2 linked regions of the Tamandua tetradactyla genome follow. The protein of the gene in region 1 purifies or fractionates together with the protein of each later gene. This does not show direct contact. Links are inferred from orthologs where the notes say so. Each region holds a gene or a part of one and is shown on either strand. Other genes may lie near its edges.

The links.
Region 2: the proteins of RAD18 (region 1) and SHPRH purify together in Homo sapiens (affinity purification with western blotting; 3 studies listed by BioGRID and IntAct, with this or other methods). This does not show direct contact. The link is inferred for Tamandua tetradactyla from reciprocal best matches to the Homo sapiens genes RAD18 and SHPRH.

The regions. Positions count from the first base shown.
Region 1 is NC_135335.1:40,212,150-40,219,280, forward strand, and holds the start of RAD18 (E3 ubiquitin-protein ligase RAD18), read left to right. Parts: upstream 1-4,043; 5' UTR 4,044-4,122; coding exon 4,123-4,173; intron 4,174-7,131. UniProt on the Homo sapiens protein: E3 ubiquitin-protein ligase involved in postreplication repair of UV-damaged DNA. Postreplication repair functions in gap-filling of a daughter strand on replication of damaged DNA.
Region 2 is NC_135351.1:44,907,675-44,915,418, forward strand, and holds the start of SHPRH (E3 ubiquitin-protein ligase SHPRH), read right to left. Parts: upstream 3,014-7,744; 5' UTR 2,774-3,013; intron 1-2,773. UniProt on the Homo sapiens protein: E3 ubiquitin-protein ligase involved in DNA repair.

The DNA.
Region 1 (7,131 bases):
TTCTCACAACATGCTTATGGGGCAAATAATATTCTCCCCCATATTACACATGAGAAAATTGAGGCACAGAGAGGTTCAATAACTTGCCCAAGTTAACACGGATTAAAATCTAAACCCTTAACCAAGGCTTAGAACTCCCCACCCTCAGGTCTTTGAGTGGCTGCCTCTGTCTTATCTGTTCGGTTTCAGTACAAATGTCACCTCCTCGGAGAGTACTTCCTTGGTTATTCGATTTAAAGTACATCCTCCTCTTTCATTGCTTTACATCACTTGTTGTTTTATGAAATTATCTTATTTATTCACTTTCCTACATACTTGCTTATATCTGGCACAGGATGTGTAGTAGCTCAACAAACATTTGCTAAGATAAATGGAGGGAGAGAGGGAAAGATAGGGTTCCCTGAGCTCCTTCAATAGCACCCCCATTCCACAATGAGAATGAGAACAGTGTCGTAGGAGAAGTGGGAATGGAGGGCGGAAGGAAGGGTGATGAAGAGAGAGCTTGGAAAGGCACTAAGAGGATGGAACCTGCCAAGGTGCAATCAGGCCAGACCCCACACTCATCCAGGAGAGTGCTTCCCTGATTAGGGTTGCCAGACTGAGCAAATAAAAATACAAGGAGATATTTTTTTTTAGCCTTTTTTTGGGGGGAAGAGTGCATGGTTCGGAAATCAAACCCGGGTCTCCCGCATGGAAGGTGGGTATTCTAACCACTGAACTACCCGTTCACCCTGGGAGATTTTAAAAAATATACAAATATTAATCCCACGAATTATTTGGGACATTCTTATACTAGAAAAAAAATGATCTGGTTGCTTATCAGGAATTGTAATTTACCTGGGTGTTATGTATTTTACCTGGCAGCCCTATCCCTGATGCTCACTGTGTGCTAAGTTCCATGGGAGATTCCACTGAGCACTCACCTGCTTTTTTTTTTTATATATACGGAACATTTTGTTTCTAACTCCTGAATAAGTAAGTGCAACCTCTTTATTGTTCTAACTGAAAAAGAAAGTCTGTGGAAACAGAAGCTTGTTACAGGAGAATGGATCCCGGGAGTGGATAATTGCCCAGTGAGGAGAGGTTAAGACAAGTGCCTTGTGCTGAGCTCAAAGAAGTCTTTCAGAACCTTCTTATTCCTTCTCCGGTGGAGAGGGTTATCTATCTATCACTCTGGGGCAGCTGAAGAGGGCAGGAAGACAGTGGCTCAGTCTGGGAGGAAAAGATTTATGGGACTGTGGGCATATCTGGTGAATCGTTCATTCATTCCGACTGTCCAAGCAGCCGTGGCAGGAATGCTCAGATGAATGACACCAGGCACAGTTCTGGAGGCTCTTTGGAAGTCAGAGCAGGGAAGATGGCTTTGGAAATCATTACCACCAAGTGACGCATGCTTCCAAATCGGTTTTCATGGCTCGATGGAAAGAGTGCATGTCTTCCTCCTTACCTGTTCTTTCTTTCTCTCTCTCTCTCTCTCTCTCTCTCTCTCTCTCTCTCTCTCTCTCTCGCCTTTCTTGCCTTCTTCTATCCTTTTCTATCCTTCCCTCTCACCTGTCCTCCTACCTTTTCCCATCTCTTCTCTCTCTTCTCTCTCCCTCTCTCACCTTCTGCAACTTCTCTCTCCAAACCCACCCCACTACCCGCTGTATCCCAAACCAGCCAACATCTTTCCACGCAGCCTAGAGTTCATTTGCATGCTCTTTTCCGATTGGCTGAGACAAATTCACTGCCACACCTCCTCATCCCCTGCCCCCTCCAGGTTCCTTCCTGTTGGAGCCCCAGGAGGTCCAAGGTCTTGGGATCCCCAGGCTCAGTCCTGCCCTGCAGCCCTGTCTACTCAGTTATTCTTCAATCAAGTGTCCATTCTGGTTTGAGATTAAAAGAGCTAGGTTCAAGGCTGGGCTCTGCCACTGACGAAGCTGTGTGATCTTGAATGATTCCCTTTGCCTCTCTGAGACTCAGTTCCTAGGTCTATAATATGGAAATAATCCTCATGAAGAAGTCCTTATGAGAATATTTTTGTAATGGTTAATGTGAACCCCCACGTCAGACTGCCTGGGTTCAAATCTCTCCTCTTCCACTCCCCAGAAGGGTGTCCTGGTTACCTCCATTTCCTCATTTTGTTGGAGAGAGTCTTAAATGTCAGTATATTTAAAAACACTTAAAATAGCTTCTTGCCTACAGGGCCTAATAATGTCAACTTTATTGTAATGCATGTTAAAGTCTTTTGTCCAAATGCTGCTGATGACATTATCATTGCCCCATGAACATTTGGAGGTAGGCTGTTAAAAACTCACTGGAGTATAGGTTCCTTATGAAGAAAGCCCAAAGGAGTGAAGCCAAGGTTTATCCTTTTGAGCCTCTATATTCTGGACTGTAAAATGGCAATAACAACCTCACCTCTGCCTACTCCACAGGAAAGTAGTAGAGTCTGGCCATGGTAAGCTCTTAAAATGTATTTGTTGAAAGAAGGAATGCATGGACCACATGAGGTGACAGTGGCAAGCTGCAGAGTCTTGTCCTTAGCTCGGCCCTGAACGATGTGTCTGTGCTGATTTGCTATCCTCCAGGCATGACGCAACGGAGGCCTAACTAAGGTAGTGTATGAAGGCAGAGCTGAGCACGCTGATGATGCTAAGTTGGTGAGCTGGTCAGGGCTTTGCATTTGGATAAAGGTGCTCTCAAACACTATTATGAGAGTGTAAATATATTAGTGTAGTCTTTTTGGACAATCATTTAGCAGTAGCTATCACAATTTTAAAAGAACACACAATTGTTCTACTAGTTCTATTTTTAGAAAACCATCCCCCAGATAGCTTTCCCCAAGTGTGCCAAGATTATATAGAGGAATGCATTCATTGCAGTTCTTTGTAGCAGTGAAAAACTGGAAACAACCTAAATGTCCCTCAATATAAGAGTAGTTAGGTAAATTTTGGTGCGTTGATATTATGGACTATGCAACCATTAAAAAGAATGAGGCAAATCTATATGTACTAACATGGAGAAATCGCAAGATGCATGATGAAGTAAACAAGTTAACAGAGTTATGCTTTTAATCTAACATTTGTTAGGGAGAGTATCAATGTTTGTACCTGCATAGGAGATATCTGGAGGGCTATATGCCAACTTTTAGTAGGGTTATCTTTTAAGAGAAGGAAGAACTTCTAAATCAAAATTTTGATTTGAATGGAAGAGCGAGCCCCACCTTCAAAGTTCAGAGGTCAGATTTGGAGTCGTCATCCCAAATCTGTGTGTGACTCAAGGAAACTTCCGTTGTTCTTTTGAACTGTAGCTCTGTCTTGTGTGAACTGATAATGATAACACGACCTTCCAGTGCTGTGATAGCGGTGAAAAGAAATAATGGATATGAAAACCCCTGAGCAGACATAGATTCTCATAGCTATCACGGAGAACGACCCGAAGCAAGAGGGATGAGCTTAGCCCTTGAAAGATTTGGGAAGGCTTGGATTTGGCTTATTACGGTTTCTAGAAGCCCTTTCCCAGCGTTCAATGGACATTCATTTATCAAGGCTCTGGGACTCTGTGCTTTTTTTTTTTTTGAATTTTAAAAATTTTAATACAGTTCAAATCAGCATGTCTCGTTCATTTCAACTCCTTCACCGCCAAACCTGGGGGCAGGGATTGCTTCAGTTTCTCTGCCTTCTCTTTGTCTGTGATGACCAAGGTATAAGGGTACCTGCTGCATCGAACTTTAAATTTCACATTATCCTTATTTTTCTTGATCTTGACAGATTTGGCATCTTTTCGCCTGGCTGTGAGCAGGAAGTCCTTGATTTCCTCAATTTTCCGAGGCATGGTGACGAGGCGCGCAGGAAGGCGGGCGGGACCGGCACAGCCCAAGATAAGAAGCAAGAACCGGATTCTGTGCTTTTAAACGACTCACCTTTTTCTATCATAAGCTACCAAATGAGCCTGGCGCATGCGCAGTGCGAGTACCTTGAACTGCCCTCCGCCCACGTACTACAACTCCCGGCAGGCTCCGCGCACCCCTCAGGCGTGTCGCAGGCTGATGACGTAGCGCAGTAGCGCGGGGAATTTCGAGCGGTAGTGCATCGCCGGAGGCCCTTGGGCGGCTGGCCCCCACACTCCTCTGGAGCTACCATGGACAGCTTGGCCGAGCCCCGGTGGCCTTCGGGCCTGGCAGTTATGAAGGTAGATGCTCGGAGAGGGAGGAAGCGCCCGGGGGTCAGCAGGAGGCCGGGTCCGCCTTGAGGGGAAAGGAGGAGGCGGCAAGCCCCGCTTGGGTTCCCCGCCCTGCCCGCCTCTTATTGCCCGCGAACCCTAAGGCCCCAGTTTCTACTGAGAAGCGGCGGGGAAAGGCCTCGGTTCCTTACGGTGAACTGAGGTCGGCCGTCGTATGGAACTGGGTATTTTGCGGTTCTTCCTCAACAGTAACAGTAACATCGAGTAAGATACTCTGAACAGTGGCGATGACAGTGACAGCTTACGCTTTTTGAGGGCTTACTCTGTGCCAAGCACTATTTAAGAGCTAGCAATACGTTAATTGAGAATTCCCAGAGTGACACCGGGCATGCTTTTCAATGGGCACTACACCAAATAGCATATATTTAATCACTGGCGAAGCAGGTAGTCTCCTTTGCACTCTGATTTCTTCTGATAATTCTCAGGAGGCTTAGTGCTGGTTTGTTCTAACGTCTCCTAACTCCTATCTAACAATTGTTCATCTTTCTTCTGTTTTAAAGAGATCAGGACTCAGGCTCAGCTCCAGCCTTTAACAAATCACTTTTATTTCGTTGGTTGCATTTCCTTTTTTAGTTGTTCTATGGTTATATCTCTAGGAAAGACCATCTTTTTGCTCCTGTTCATTAATTTTCTCATTTATATTATGGAAATTATGGTGTCTCCCCCACTGACTGGTGAAGCTGACTTTGAGGGTCAAGTGAAGGGACTTGGGAAAGGCTAAAGTAAGTAAAAAGTTGTGTTCTTCCTGCTGTCAGCAGAAACATTTGCAGTGTCTGGGGACTTGAGATATCATCACTGTACAGATGGTGAAGACCTGATGTTGTGGAAGGATCTAGGAAAGTTGTTTTGAAGTTGTAGTGGCCTTAGCACCAAGATCCACTGGAGAAGGGCATAGATTTTGAGTTCCAATTGTCTGGTTAAATCTGGACTCTCCCTTATATTATTAACTAGGTGAGCTTGAGTTATTTAACCTCTCTGAGCCTCAGTTTCTTCAAGTATAAACTGGAGACAAAAATAGCCATTAAAAGAGTTGAGAAATGTGGGTAAGGATCCTATCTAGTTTGTTCACTGTACTTTTAACACAGTGCCTGGCCCATGGTGGGTGCTCAACAGTTATTTGTTGACTGCTCGAAGGTGTCTAGTATGTACTTGTGCTAAGCATTCAGTTAATATATCTTTATTATTATTATGAGTGCTTAACGTGTGTTCTATGTCTTTCCTTCTTTCCCCCTTTTATTTGTTGTAAAGATTGAATTAGAGAAGTGAGCGTTCTGTAACCTGTAACTCTACCTGCTTTGTAGATTTGAACATATTTTATGCTTTCTCACAACTCCACATTATTCTTTACAGGTAGGTTTCTTGTCTTCTCTGGCTTTTCACAGCAAGAATATAGAGTTTAGCAGCAGAGTGTTCAATTATGGGCTTGACTGAGCTCAAATTTAGCTCTCATTAGAATCATGGAATCTTAAGCCAGTCCCCTCCAGTATTTTAATTCCTATTATAATGTATCTGCCAATTTCTCATCTGATTTTTGCTTGAACTCCTCCAGGGGCAAAAAACTAGTTGCTCCCAGAGGCAGCCCTGATCGTTTGAAGTTCTTTCTTATATTAAATAGAAATCTGACTCTGAACCCATGATTCCTAACCTAACCTGGAATCTGTGAAAAGAATTTGATATCTGGAAATACTTCTAAAATTCTTGTGCATAGATATATTTCTTTCCTAGGAGAGAGTCCATAATTTTCAAAGGAATCTGCGATCCTCCCCCCCAAACTTAAGAACCTTTTTGCTTGAATTATTAAGTCATTTTCACCTGATTCCTACTTTCTCTTTCTTCTTTCTCTAAGCTAAAGAAATCCTGGGACATCCACTGACCACTCTCTGTTTAGGCTTTTTTTTTCTTGCAGCACATATGATATACATGCTCCTGTCTAGAAGTGGCATGATTGGACATTTGTACAAAAATACCACAGCTCCTCTGATGTGTTGTCACCGTCTACACATCTTGTTTGGCAGTTCTGTCAGAACCGGTCCTCCAGAAGAGGATGGTCATGTAGAATAAAGATTCACAGACTAGATGCTGGACTCTTTCTTCTGGTCCTGCCTCTACTCTTAATATGAAGAGCAGTAAGCCTCTAGCTTTTTGCGTCTGTGGCAGCTTGGCATGCATAAGAATGGAAGATTTAGGCATTTTTATGTTTATTTCTCTGATTTTACTGTAAGAAAAATTTACTGTTATTGACAGATTATCAATGTAACATGTGTACTTAGTAGAAAAAATTTAAAATTCAGAGAAAGGTAAAGAAGAAAATGGAATTTACTCATAATCCCACCATCCAGAGATAACCACTGTTAAATGTTTTGTCTTACTTCCCTTCAGTTTTTCTTGTGTGTGCTTATGTACACAGATGCACCAATGTGCATTTAAAATTATGAATCACTTTGGAGCCAGTTCCTTGGGCTTTATCCAACCACTTATTAGTTCATCTGTAATACTAGGAAACTGAAACAACAAACTTCATTTATAGAGATAAATGACAGTATTATTATTTTGCATTATTGTGGTCAATTTTTTTCTCTGCTTTTGTTTGTTTCCATTAAAGTGTGAACATTTTCATATGGCAATAATTATTCTTTGAAAGCATGATTTTTTAAATGGATATCTAGTGTTTCATCATTTAGATTATTAGTATCAGGGTGCTTTTGTTTATCTTTTTAAAATCTTAAGTAGTACACTTACATGATTCAAAAAATATATAAAATAAAAAGTAAAAGTAAAAGTCTTCCTCTCACTCATGTCTAGTTCCCACTCCCCCACCATTATTTCTTTCATGTTTTTTTTTAAGAATTTCTTTTTATAGATACAAAATAAAAATAGAATGCATTCTTATTCCTCTGCCCCCTTTTT
Region 2 (7,744 bases), on another chromosome or scaffold:
CTTTGGGCGCTTTCTGTATCGTTTCTACTCCTCTAGTAGGTGTCCTGGAGAAGAAACTAAGATCCGCGCGTCTTACTAAGCCGCCATCTTCCAGGAAGTCTCCAGGGACAACCTCTTGAACTAAAGAAGATATTACTTGGACAAAGTGGCTTGTAACTGTGATGTTAACTGGCACTAATAGGCTGAGTCCTGGAGAATTCTCTATCTCGAATCACCTTCCGCATCTTTCTCCTACTTTTCCTCATGTCTCATGAACCACACCCTGAGAACATCACCTTGAACGTCAGGTGCATGTGGCATGTGCAACTCTGTTCATGGGCCACACGCTTACCCTCTGCATGTAAACGCAGGATGCCTTCTGCCTGAAATGCCCCTTCGCTCTTTTCTGCCGATTGCTGCCCTGGTCTTCCCTGGAAAGCCCTCCAGACCAGGGGAGCTGTGTCGGGGCCCTCCTTCTGGGCCCCAGAGCTGTGGGCACTGGCCCACTTGGGGGCCAGGCGGGAACGGCACTGGGAGTGGTGCCCCAACGCCAGGGCCATGCCAGCTGACGAATGGCACTTGATTGAGGCAAATGAAGACCTCTCACTTCCCAGCCAATGCCCCAGCAAGACTGTGCTCACATTTCTTCTGGGGGAGCCTCCCTCAGCCACACTCTGGAAGACTGCAGGTGATGTGAAACCATTCCTTCCTGTAACTGGCCCAAAGTGAGACAGAGAACTAACTCACCTGTATCTTTGTTTCACAGAAAACAAAGACAGACTGCCAGAAGAATAAATAAAATGTTACCAAGACAATGCAACAAATGGACACCAATTAAACTTAAATTCCGAAGTATTATCTCTTGTTAAACAGACATAAACATCCTGAATCACACAAGTGCTGCCTGCCGGGGCTGGTCTGTCAAGGGCATTAGCGGCGCCTGCCACACTGTTTCCACGAGGCCACACAGGAGAAATGCATGGGGCAGCACACAGCAGACAACTCCAGCCGGGTGACAGCAAGTTCACCACTGAACCCTGAAATACAGGCCCTCACCACAAGCTTTTATACCAGAAGGTTCTGTTCCCCCAAATATTTCTGGCCTAGTTCTTCATACCTGATTTGTTAGATAATACTATAAATACAATTCTTTCAGGCTGGCAAAAAGAGGGCTATGTAATACTATTTTCACAAGTAAAGCATTCTATTCTGCAGCCTGTAAGCTCACTGGTCCCAGGCATTCTATGCTCCATCCCTGCTCCAGGGGCGTAGGGTTCCAGCACAGGGTCCCACCCCAGGGTGCTGGCATGGGGTCCCAGCACGGGGTCCTACTCCAAGGTGCTGGCACAGAGTCCCGGCATGGGGTCTCACCCCAGGGTGCTGGCACGGGGTCCCGGCACGGGGTCCTACTCCAAGGTGCTGGCACAGGGTCCCGGCACGGGGTTCTACTCCAGGGTGCTGGCACAGGGTGCTGGCACGGGGTCCTACTCCAGGGTGCTGGCATGGGGTCCCAGCACGGGGTCCTACTCCAAGGTGCTGGCACAGGGTCCCGGCACGGGGTTCTACTCCAGGGTGCTGGCACAGGGTGCTGGCACGGGGTCCTACTCCAGGGTGCTGGCATGGGGTCCCAGCACGGGGTCCTACTCCAAGGTGCTGGCACAGGGTCCCAGCATGGGGTCTCATCCCAGGGTGCTGGCACGGGGTCCTACTCCAGGGTGCTGGCACAGGGTCCCGGCATGGGGTCTCACCCCAGGTGCTGGCATAGGGCCCCGGCAGGGGGTCTCACCCCCAGGTGCTGGCATAGGGCCCCGGCAGGGGGTCCCACCCCAGGGTGCTGGCACGGGGTCCTACTCCAGGGTGCTGGCACAGGGTCCCGGCATGGGGTCCCACCCCAGGGTGCTGGCACAGGGTCCCGGCACAGGGTCCTACTCCAGGGTGCTGGCACAGGGTCCTGGCACGGGGTCTCACCCCCGGGGTGCTGGCATAGGGTCCCACCCCAGGGTGCTGGCACAGGGTCTGGGGTTCCGGCACGGGGTCCCACCCCAGGGTGCTGGCACTGGGTCCCACCCCAGGTCACAGCACAGGCACACCGAGCCAGGCCCCTCACCTCTTCCCTGCGTCCAACTCAGTCATGTCAAAATCAAATCGTCTGTTTGGTGACAATCCAGGTTTTATGAATCATTTCTATGCATGGAGTTCTGTCACTCCTGCCATCATCCACTGGAATAAAGATTGCTGCAATGACTTACAAAGGTTTTATCTTTTTCAGCTAAAGTTTCAAGTTGAGCACACGTGGGAAAACAGCCAACATCTGGGCCTCCCACCTGCCGGACGGTGCGGTCACTTGGGAGGGCGCGGGCTTGAGGGATGCTCTTTAAGGACGGCGAAAACCGGAGGAGGCCGCGTCCCTCCGCACTGGGCCGTGCCTCGGGGCCACCCCGCCGGCTCTGGCTTTGGGGTGCAGCACCCGGTGCCGGCGGGCGGCCTCGCTACCTCGCAGGCCGGTTCCGCCTCGCGGGAGCGCTCGTGCTCGGCTCCTCGCAGCTGCTCCCTAACCCGGCGAGCAGCACGGCCCGGCGTCCCGGGCAGGACGGGAAGGAGCACGGCCCCCCCCCCGCGACCCGCTTTCCCTCCCAGGGCCCGCGCCCCCGCGATCGGGACGGGTGAGAGCTCGCGCGGCGACGCCCTCCCCTCCCTGTGGCTTCCCCGGCCAGGGACAACCCGAGTCCCAGTCCTGGCCTCCTCCCGGCCTCCCCCGACCTCTGACCCCTGACCCCGTCACCCCAGCGCCTACCTAGCGGATGCTCCAAGCCGCTCAGGCCTCACCGCACCAGGCCGGGCCCTCCGAGGCGCCGCGGGCCCCGGGCTCGCGCTCGCCGACCCCTGATGTCCGCCGGATGGGCACGCTTGTGAAGCTTCGGGCCAGGGCCCGGGGGTCCCGGAAACCCCAGCTCCGGCTGCTGGGCGCGCGCGGGAGCGCCGGGTCAGGTGGACGCGCACGTCGGACGCCACACCTTCTTCCTCCCTCAGTGGCCTCAGGAGCCGCTTCTGCGCAAGTGCGCATGGCCAGCCACACTCTCGGAATACTGCCGAGGTCTCGCGATAGCACCGGGCCACGCCATTGGGAGTAGCGGATTGGAAGGAGCCGAGGAGCCGGCTCGGGGCGGGTATAGGCGGGGCCTCCGCGCAGGTGGGCGTGGCGGGGCGCGGAGCGACGGCGTGCGGTTGATGGCCTTAATGAGGAGGGAGGAGCCGCCGCTCGGACGCAGGGGCGCTCTGTCCACCGGCCCCGCCTCTCGGGACGTCCCGCCGACGCACGCGGGGGCCCGGCCGGAAGCGGTGTCCACCCCTGTGTCCCTGGGCGAGCTCGGGCCGCTCCCATCGCTGGGGCGTGGACTCACCCCGCCCGAAAAGTCGGTGAGGCTCGTGCAAAGTTCAAGCAGGGCTCGCCTAGGGCGCTCCGGGGCTCCCTGGGGTCTCCCCGGGGCCGTCCCATCCCACCCCCAGGCCCCCCAGGAAGCAGAGTCCTTCTCCCGGGAGAGCAGGTCCCTGTGCAAGCAGAAGCCACGTGGAGCCTTTTTTCCCCTGGAAATGTGATTTAACCGCAGTATTTAAACGGATATATTGTGCTGTAGAAGGTTATTTTTATTTATTTATTTTATCGTTTTTATATCAGTTCCCACTACGGGAGCAGAGAATTGGGCTCACAGTTTGGCCAGGCAGGAATATTAAGCAGTGCATCATTTCATCTTTGCTCATTTCTAAGATAGTCTAGACACAGCTCCGTAATCCTGTGCAGGAATCCAAAGGACCATCCGATGGAGATGAAATTCTACAGAGCATGCGGTGGGCAAGACGAAACAAATCTCCCCTTTGCGATCGTCTAATGATACGTTGAATCCTTTGAAAATATCCTCTGTGGAGTAATGTCTCAGTATTAAAATCACCAGACCTGATTTCAAAAAATGCTTTTCCAGCGTGCCTGCTGGCTCCCTCGGCACTCTCCAGCTGCCAGACATGCTGTTCACCCTGGCGAACCGCTGGGTTCATGCACGGAAAGATGCTGGCGATCATGGCATTCAGCAGCCAGGGAGCAGTTGATTGGAAGCAAACCCATCTCGGTGAACCCTTCACTGTTCATACAGTTCAACAACTTCTTGAAAGTATAAACGTAGGGTGGTGTTTTACTTTCTTAAAGCTGCCAGGAGGCTGTATAACAGAAATGGAATGGCTTTTTAAAAGGGAATTTATTAAGTTGCAAGTTTACAGTTGTAAGGCAGTGAAAATGTCCTTTTTAAGGCACTAAGAAGAAGTTACCTCCACTCTAGAAAGGCTCATACCGTCCAGAGCACCTCTGTCAGCTGGAAAGGCAAAGGGCAACATCTGCTAACTTTCTCTCCTGGCCTCTCATTTAATAAGGATTCCCCAGGGGCGTTTTCCTTTTGCATTTCCAAAGGTCTCTAACTCTGGACTCTGCTGCTTTTTCCAAAATGGTTCCCTCTTAAAGGACTCTTAACCCCACCTTGAATGAGTGAGACACATGTCTATGGAAACCACCTAATCAAAAGGTACCACCCACAAATGGGTGGGTCACATAGCCAAAGAAACAATAAAAAGATCCCACCCAATAATATTGAATGAGGTCTAAAGAATATGACTTTTCTGGCATACACAACAGTTTCAGACCAGTGTAGGTGGTCAGTCCCCTTGCGTTCTGCGTGGTTTCACTAGGCCAAAACTATTGCTCCAGTCTCTTGAGGACAGTACATTTTATTCTCACCACCCCCAGGTTCAATTCATCTGTTTTACAAATGGATGTTGTAAGTTGTTCTGGAGAGGGAGTAGATGGGTTAGTGCAAAATGAATTCATCTTGGAGGCAGAAGCAGGTGATAACTAATGGATTTCTGTTTGCAAAGCCCTTTCATAGTTCCTTTCCCGTGTGATTCTTAGAACACTAAATGGGACATTTTAAATTTCCATTTTACAGAAGAATTTGAAGCACAGAGAAATTTGATGATTTGGTCACAGTTAAGAAAACAGCGGGCCCTACATCTCACCTTGACTCCCCTGTCTAGGCTGTTCATTGCCTCTTAATACTAAATTGTGCTGCCTCTCAAATCAAGATAAATAATCTAGTCGTTTATCTTTCTAGGTTGGCATGAGCAAGAAGAAGGTAAGAGGTGTGCAATTATTTGGTGACACATTCAGTCCCAGCCATGTGTTCTGCTCAATAGGAAGATCATCAATAAATTGCTTGAAAATTTTATTACATATATGCTTATTCCCTGCTCTCTACAAGTGAGGCAGGTGGCCATCCAGTGTCACTGATGACCAGCCTGTCTTGGGACTGCTTTCCCTCCTGCCCAACAAATGAAAGTGTCAGGTCAAAGTCGCTGTTCCGAGATGAACTGCTGTGTCCAGAGCCCCTGATAAAATGTGTGCAGTGCTAATGGGAAGGGAGGTCAAAATAAGGTTTTGAAAAATTGGTGCCTGCAGGGAAGGTGATCAACTGGTGAAAGAGTGGTGTCAGGCCAAAAAAAAAAAAGGTGTTAGGGCATCAGGCATGCTTTGCGGGAGCAGGTGCAATTGTAGAGCAGGAGGTGTGTGACCTAAGAACAAATCCTCCTGTTCTGAACATCACAGCTTTGCTCCAGGCTAGCCCTGGGTGGGTCTCACTGTCGGCTTCCAATTGTATTCTTCCTTGGTGATTTGCAGGTCAGATTTATTTAGAAATCCCCTGCTGCAAGCTCAACCTGCAAACTGAAAACTCAAGCTGTGTCCCTTCTGCCTCTCATAATTTCTAAGGCAAAAATGTGTAATGTGTATACAGAATGCCACATTGGATGTGAACTAATGACATAAGCAGAGAATTTACTGTTCCTTCCTAGGTATCTGTTTTGGGTGTTAATAAAGCAATGCTTGTAAATCTGGTGAAAGCAAGGAGAAACTTGAATCTGCGTCTGCAAGGAAAGAAAAGATCAGTCATAAGCAACAAATAGCATAATCTGCATCCTTGGACCCATCCCAGGCCCTCCCTTCCTTTCCCCAACCATACTTTTTCCCCGATATCATATTTTTTTCTAACTAATTTTGTCAATATAGACTCAAGACATTAACGAATAGGGATATTGTGGGTAAATCTATTGATGCTTCTAACTCAAACATTTATCATGCAGTTTCAAGATCTATGAATAAAACGTTCTTTAAATATTTTGGGGGCCACGCTGTATGCTATTTTTAAGTACAAAAGTAGTGATGTAACACTTTCAAAATGACTCTAAAACCTCAAGGCAGCTTATTGATAAGTGTAAACATAAAACTATGCTTACCAAGGAATGAAGGACTGTCCACGAGAAGGTTGATGCCAGATTCAGACTCAGCATGGCCATGTTGGTGATGTCAATTCTTGTGACAAAGGCAAAATTATTCTAGAAAGTCCTGAACTCCTTGCTGGGCCCTTAGGTACAAATGTGCAGTAGTAGCATACGTCCATATGTCATAATGCTTCCACCTTGACTGCTAGCTCCTGGGAAATTTTTTTTTTTTTTGAATTCCAACCATCTCAGGTAATTGTTATGAAACCAATTCAAGGACAGATGTTTGAGCCTCACTTGAGCAGGTGGTCCTCAACATATGACCTAATTGGTTCCTGGATGGTTAAAAATCAAGCTCATAGAAATCACTTTTTTCCTGTATCCTCAGTGTTTAAAGCTAGGCCTCCATTCCTGGAAACCCATTTATTACCTTAAAAATGCCAACATCAATCATGAAAATAAATGGAAAATAAAACACAAATATAGGCTTTAGCAAACACAATATTGTTTGACAAAACTCTTCATTGAGTAGTCATACTGTAGATGATACTTTGGGAAACTTTTCGGCATTGATAAAATACCTGGAATGTCTTAAGATATTAGTTCAAAGATGTTTGCAATGATGACTGATTTTTTAAGATTAATATCTCAAAATTAATATTTTTAAGACAGTCCATGTTTTTCCAAAGACCTTTGAATTAACTTAAAATTTGGAGGCATCTGTCTGATACATGTGACTATCCATTCGAAGTCTCTGAGAGTCCACAAGTGGTCAGTGCTGGGGAAGGGTCATTTCCTTGGCATCATAAAACCACAATGATCCCTTACAGACTGAGTTTGCACGGTCGTTATTGGGCCCTGATGAACATGAGTGCTGCCATTGGTACGGTCGTGAGACAGCCATGCATTTGACACTTGGTCTTTCTTTGGGGGTGGAGAGTAGTTTTTGTTATGAGGGAGGAGATAAAGGCAGGGTGTCCCCAGCTGAGGGTGGTCTGAGCTGGCTTCATAGGACCCACAGTCCTATGTCGGCCACATTAGGAGAAGATACAGATACTGAGGAGACCAATCACTTCTTCAAGTCTATTTCTCCTTTAAAGCCCTGGCAGGAAAGTGTTATAGCACTACTTTCGTACTTAAAACTGGCATGTAACAGTGGCCCTTGTAATATTCAGAGAATAGTTTACTTGCATGTCTCAAAACTGCATAATAAATGTGACTTGGAGTCATAAGCTTCAGTAGATTTCCCCATAATGTTCCTATTCCTTAGTGTCCTGAGTCTATATTGGCAAAATTAGTTTTAAAAAATATGCCATCAAGAGAAAAGTAATGGTTGGGACAGGAGGGGAGAATCTGGATGGGAACAAGGACACAAATTCTGCTATCTTTGTTGTTTAGCACCGACTAGACTCTCAGATCTCCTCTTTCCCAGTGCCCCACGTTCAAGCAC